2 linked regions of the Coturnix japonica genome follow. The protein of the gene in region 2 interacts with the protein of the main gene of each other region in a pairwise test. Links are inferred from orthologs where the notes say so. Each region holds a gene or a part of one and is shown on either strand. Other genes may lie near its edges.

What was found.
Region 1: the proteins of CEP76 (region 2) and NHLRC2 interact in binary tests that used the Homo sapiens proteins (3 or more experiments, as listed by UniProt). The two-hybrid records come from large-scale screens. The link is inferred for Coturnix japonica from reciprocal best matches to the Homo sapiens genes CEP76 and NHLRC2.

What each region holds. Positions count from the first base shown.
Region 1 is NC_029521.1:24,468,758-24,472,323, reverse strand, and holds part of NHLRC2 (NHL repeat-containing protein 2), read right to left. Parts: intron 603-3,566; coding exon 147-602; intron 1-146. UniProt on the Homo sapiens protein: Required for normal embryonic development.
Region 2 is NC_029517.1:87,454,339-87,457,904, reverse strand, and holds part of CEP76 (centrosomal protein of 76 kDa), read right to left. Parts: intron 2,883-3,566; coding exon 2,785-2,882; intron 2,347-2,784; coding exon 2,218-2,346; intron 951-2,217; coding exon 759-950; intron 1-758. UniProt on the Homo sapiens protein: Centrosomal protein involved in regulation of centriole duplication. Required to limit centriole duplication to once per cell cycle by preventing centriole reduplication.

The DNA of each region.
Region 1 (3,566 bases), on a different chromosome or scaffold from region 2:
TTATCCCTCCCATGTCCAGTAAAAGTGTTTTTCTAGGAAAAAAAACCGTTCTACCAATGCTTATGAATCACCAGGTCATAGGAGCACCACAGAATGTAGTCCACCCCCGAGCAAAAAAGTCCATAACAAAATTTACATAACCTTACCTCCAATAGTGTGTAGAATTTGCCCATTTTTCAGAGTGACCAAAATCCTGTGATGTCCAGTGTCAGCTATCACCAGCCTTTCTCCTGATTTATCTACTGTCACTTTGCCAGGAAACAGCAGAGGAGAAGGTGGGAGGGAGTCTTTGTACAGCTTTATTCCAATACTGTTATCTTTAATTTGTCCTCTCTCCTTGTAGAATTTCAGTGTTATTGAAGTAAATAAAAACAACTTCTCTTTGTGCCCTTCTCCAACAAGCGAAAACAGCATGTTTCCACGAGGTCCAAGAATGACCAGAGTTGGCCAACAGGACACTTCTAGTTCATGCCACAGTGTTGCGTCTGCATCGTTTACAACAGGGTGGCCAATATCGTACCTCAAAACTGCACTCTTAATGTTATCCAGAACTTTTTCGTTTGGAAACTTCGCTGAATGGACACCAATAATAACAAGGCCATCTGAAAGGAGAAGTGAATTATTACATTTAAATATATTTGTATCTCAGTTTAAAAAGTAAAAACAAAGCTCCAAAGTAACTAAGCGCATTTCAGAGTGAAGAGGGTTTAGCAAGTAAAAAGAGTAATATGTCACAAATAGTTCTTAATTTCTTAACCTCTGCATACTAAGGCAGAAAATGCTTTGAAAATAATCATGGGTAAGCTTCAGCAGTTCAAGTGGTATTTTGTTTTCTCAGGTATTCATGATACCTCTTTGGTGTCTGATTCCTTTACATAAATATGGTGTTTACAGAAAATTAATACTTTTCTATTGTAAACCAGGAATCGCAAATATAACACGGAACTTTAAAAAGTAAAGAAATGAAAGGTACAGGCTCTTAAAATCAAAACAGTACCCCGTGTTTTACATAGAGCTGGCAGCACCAGAAACCATGAAAAATATAAGAAGTGTATTAAATCAATTTAATCTTCAATTTTAATCCCTCTTCTTAATGCTTATAACAAAATACCTATATTTGGTTAATAATCATTAGTATAGAGATACTGCACTTGAATTCCCAGCATGAAGGTTCTCTGTAATGTCTTCATCAATGGCACTGATGATAGGTTTGAGTGCACCTTCAGCAAGTCTGCTGAGGCCAAGCTGAGTGGTGAAGCTGACAAATTAGAAGGAAACGATGCCATCCAGAGGGACCTTGACAAACTAATGAGGTTCAACATAGCGAAGTGCAGTGTTCTGCACTAGGGTTAGAGTAACCCCAGATATGTATGCTGACTAGGAGAAGCACACCTTGAGAGTAACCCTGTGCTGAAGGACCTGGGGGTGCTGGTGGATGAAAAACTGAACGTGAGCCAGCAGTGTGTGCTTGCAACTTGGAAAGCAAATGGTATCCTGGCCTGGAGCCCCTACGAAGACAGGCTGAGGGAACTGGGCTTGTTCAGCCTGGAGAAGAGAAGGCTGCAAGGAGACCTCACTGCCACCTTCTGGTATTTAAAAGTGGGCTGCAAAAAGGGGAGTCAACTTCTTATTTGCATAGACAGTGATAGGACAAGGGGGAATGGTTTTAAGCTCAAGGAGGGAAGGTTTAGATTGGATGTCAGTGGGAAGGAAGTTCTTCACAGAGAGAGTGGTGAGGTGCTGGCACAGGCTGCCCAGAGGCTGTGGATGCTCTGTCCCTGGAGGTGTTCAAGGCCATGTTGGATGGGGCCCCGGGTGGCCTGGTCTAGTATTAAATGTGGAGGTTGGTGGCCCTGCCTGTGGTGGGGGGTTGGAGATTCATGATCCTTGAGGTTCCTTCCAACCCAGGCTGTTCTGTGATTCTGTGATTTTATGAAGGTACTGAATAAACACAAAGTAATATAATTCAGCTTGTATACATGGAATAGACAGCATCAGCAATAAATTGATCAGAAAGCACGTAACTGAAATGCTTGTTTATTTTCCCACTTCAGTGAAACTCAAACAGAAAATCTACAGTTCAGAACTCATCAGCTTTTCTCTATGGGACAAAAAAACAAATATACTTCTACTCCATGTAAATAATTTCACCATCAGTCCCAAATTTTGCACCCCCCTACCTACTTAACAGAAAAAGAATGAGGAGCCTTCAGCAAAGTCACTTTTCAGTACCTCCTAGGAGGAGAAAACCTCAAATGCTCTAACAAACAACTCTGGATCTCTTTCAGTGCTTTCAATTATGCCTTCTAGCATAATCTCTCAGAAATTAAATGAGCAATGTACATGACATCAACAACATATTTTGTTTCATTTTGTGCTTAAAGAATGCTTAGCCATAAACATCATGTTGTTACAGTCAAAGTAACTTGTCAAATGTGGGATGATTTAGGTTTTGGGTTATTTTTATTTTAAAATTCAGAGATGCGAGTGAAATAAATGAGACTATCTGAACCATGACATTTGATTAAATTTCAGAACATTCCATTTCTAGAATCTGTTGCTCACAGCCACCATAAAAGAATGAGACACTGAATATCGTTCGTTACTGAAGCCAGGAAGATAATGACAGTAACAACCATGCAGTTGTAGAAAGCTGCAGCACAATAACTTTAAACCCAAACTGCTGATATAATTGAAATCTTAGACATTAACCCTATGCAGTGGAAAAACTAAGTCATATATTGAAGCAGTGATTGAGCACCTGGTAGGAAGGCAGAGCCAGCTCAGGGGAGCTCAGGTGCAAGCAATGCCCCTTAATAACTGGAAGGGGTGGAGCCAGGATCCACCCCTTCCCAGACCTTATTTAAAGGTTGGCCAGGGAGGCAATGCTTGCTGTAGACTATTGTGCACCTGAGGCCTTCTGAAGGTAAGTAAATTCCTTTTATTTCTGTGCCTGCTGCTACATTTGAGTAGAGCCTTATTTGCTACAGCCTGGGATCTTGCTGCTCTGCTGTTCCTATTGCACTTACCACTGTTATACCTGTATTGTATGTATACATATGTATATCTGTGTATTGAAAAATCACCTGTGTTAATGGATATTTCAAGCTTTTTATAATCACAGGTAACTGGTATCATTCTACTACTTTATTGAAAAAATGTTATCAAGTTTTATTTAACCTTATGTCTTAGGTTGAGTAGAGATTCTAAATTAAATAGGAAGGGGGAATACCCTTATGGTTGATATCCTTTTTAGCTAATTTTTCTAAATTAAAAAATATTTTGACAGCAACAAGTTCTTTCTTCTTTTTGCAGTTGTATCTATATAAATAATCAGCATTTATGATTTTTTATTGCTTGCATTCAAATATCTGTAGTGTTTCCTTCTAGTGTTTTTTTATGTCTACAGTGAATTCCTTATTTTTTATCATCAATACAAGTAATATCATAAAAGAGGTGAAAGCTTTGTGACCCTGCAGGTGTCACAGATGAAGAAATTATCCAACCTAAATCCAGTTCTGTTGATGTTTAACTTTAATATACAACTGGTACAGAGCTCTGAAGAT
Region 2 (3,566 bases):
CAGGCATAGCTAAAAACATTAGAAAAAGAAAGCAGTATTTCTCCAGTTGTTATCTAACAAGTCGCGTTTCCCTCCTATTTACCTAAAACATGCACCAGAAGTCAGGACTTCAAGGTTACAAACTTAAGAATCTTGAATTCCTCTTTTTAATATGCACCATATCAAAGTATATCAGGCTTTTACAACTTCCAATGGAGTTATTGTTCTTCACAGAGGCTCATATGGTGCTGCATTTTGGATTTTTTATGAGAACAGTGCTGACAGCACACCATTGCAGGTGCTGCAGAGCAGCGTTTACACAGACACAAGGATATTTCAGTTCTTCATGCTGCCTTGCCCATAAAGGGCTGTGGTACACAAGGAACTGAGAGGACAGAAACAGGATAACAGCTGATCCAGACCACCCAAAGGATGTCCCATGTCACATGTCATAGCGCTCAGCAACATAAGCTGGGTTGAAGGAGGAAAAGGGGATGTTTGTGATGATGGCTTTTATTTTTCCCCCCTTAAGGAACCATTACACATGATGTCCAATGGATTCATTGAAAAAAGGATTCAAGCAACAGCACTGAATAAAGTAAGTCAGCTCCAAAGCCCTCTTGTCTAATACTTAACATCTGCCACTATTTGATCTTATAAAAGCTATTTGCATTTATGAGTTCTCTGAAATGGATTCAGTCCACCTTTTGCAACCTGTTTTAAATGACTAACTTCATTCCAACTATAAAAGTTGTCATGCAAAGACTGTTTTTACATACCTTGTTTCTACATACGAATGCAAGAAGTGTGCACCACTGCTCTTGTTTGCCACCACCTCCTCCGATGACAGGAGCTCTTTCATAACCCAGGACACTGACAAATCGTGCTGCTTGTCTAGGTGTGTCTAGCAACCGGCCCGCTCGAAGTGGTCTGATATATGAACATACCGGACGGTTTACTCCATTTTCATCCTGAACGTGGTAAAGAAATAATAGTACTATTAAAACTTCCTAAAGCAATCCATTATCTACTGTTAGTTTCCAGTGAAGCTTCCATTCCGGCTGCACCAGGTGTGTTCAGCAGTGAGATGAATGCACCACACCCTTACGTGGAAGCTGACACTACTCCCGTACACAGCTGGTGAAGCCAGAAGAGAAGACCTCACTTCCCTGAAGACAAACAGCAGGTGTGGATTGCTTCCGGAAGTTATTTCATCATCTGTGCCAGGAAAATTGCTGCTCTACAAGTTAAATTCATATATTAGCATGATAAACACAAAGCATCACAGAATGGCCCAGGTTGGAAGGGACCTCAAGGATCAAGAATCTCCAAATCTCCTGCCACAGGCAGGGCCACCAACCTTGCCATTTAATAGTAGACCAGGTTGCCCAGGGCCCCATCCAACCTGGCCTTGGACACCTCCAGGGATGGGGCATCAGCAGCCTCTCTGGGCAGCCTGTTCCAGCACCTCACAACTCTCAAAGAACTTCCCCCTGACATCCAGCCTAAATCTTCCCTCCCTCAACTTGAAACCATTTCCCCTTGGCTGTCTGTTATCTACCCTTTCAAAGGCTTGACTCTCCTCCTGTTTGTAGGCTCCCTTTAAGTACTGAAAGGCTGCAATGAGGTCACCCTGCAGCCTTCTTTTCTCCAGGCTGAACAAGCCCAGCTCCCTCAGCCTGTCCTTATAGTCCCATACCATTCCTACTACTGAGGGGCAGTCACCAAGGAACAACTGATGTGATTGTGACGTAAGTTACAACACAGTAACTTACTAGCCAATGATTTGTTCACATCTGTAACTACCATGCAACATTCACCAGCCAGATTACTTTATTAACCACAGAGTGCTCAAATATTATATGGATCTGCTCCAGTATATCCAGTAACTCCACTACTTATTACTGTATAAAACCTGTCTGCAATAGTTTGTATAGATCACTTAAGCATTTGCCATTTGTACTTATTCAAGGAAAAGACTAAAATGGCTTTTCTACCTCCTACACCAGGGGTGCTTGGAGCAGCCTTTCTCTATGAAACATACTCTTCAGCTTCAGTATACATAGTTCAAGTCTTGAAAACTTCATTGTCAGCATACTGTATCACATGTAGCCCTGAATGGAATCTAACCACATCATAAATCTATACAAATTCTACATACACAAACTTCAAACATGCAGCTAAGACTAAAAAAAACACCTTGAAGAACAGATTGGTGTATTTGTAAAATATACAAACCTGTGCAAAAATCTTTACCAGCCTTGAGTTGTGTGTAGGCCTGATCTGCAGGTATTCTCTCCACCACTGTTTAGCATACACAAGAAATAAACGTTCTTTTTCTGCTGTCTTCTGACGTTCCAAAGTAAACTACAGGTAGGAAAATACACACAACCATTCACACATATAATAATTCCAAACAAGAACAAAAAGTAATCAATATACATACTAGCACATGATCCTTGCATATGAAAAATGAAGTTTAATATGACAGCATGCAACCAATGCTAAAGAATAGTATTTTAAAGTGAAAATCCAATGAATGTAAAACTCAATTTACATTTCTTGTTTGTAGGCTGATATATCAAGCTTGACTGAAGTAGTGTTCATCTTCAGTGACGCATATCTGTATAGAAGGACTACTCACCTTGCTAAGTGTGGAATAATATCTGTAACACCTTTGGGCCACCATTTACTGGCTTTTCAAGTAGAGTAACCGACCCTTTATCTACATAAATAACTGTACAGTGTGCATCCCCCCTGCTGATAAAAGAACAGGCCATCCCTCACCCCCTACATATTACTTACCTGAGTGCTTGTTATTTCTGGAGACAGAGTCTTAGTAAGTGGTGGATACATTTCAAGTCTGATGTTCAAAACACCGACAGAAACCTTTGATTCTGTACCTTTGAACCAAAATACATTCCTATCAGTCCTTTCAAATTCATTTGACACAGAACAAATAATAGTTTTAATCATACCATCATAAAAATAAAACCCCATAAACTTCTCTAAGTACATACAACACAAAGATCTTCACTGAAATATTCTACTCAAGAATGAAAGGAATGATAACCTGGCTAAAGAAGCTGGTAACTGGATCTGAGCCCTAAGGGCCTCTTTCCAGGTGATACCAGAACATACAAGATGAATGCTGTTCTGTAAGGGCTAGAATAGGCACCTACAAATAGACTGGAAGAGCCACAGTGTACAAGTGCCCATTGTTACTGAATGTACAACTCACTGCTCAGATCACTGTGGTTAGAGCAGGATCATAACTGCTACACAGGACAAGCTAGATTTTACACTTGAGAACACTGACACGGTATTTTTCCTGGAGACGCATTTGTTGATTTATGTTTGTTTTGATAGTTTACCCACATCCTGGAGATAACAGAGGCTCCCAGGTACAGGGACCACTATTGCACAGGATCTGGAACACACATTCTTAACACTTTGATAAGACAAAAATCTGACCATTAGTCCTTTATATAAACTCTTCTTAAGGATACCTTAAAGTAATTCATGAGTTGATACCTTAAAGTAATTCATGAGTTGATTAGCTGAACTGAAATCAAACCAAACCATAA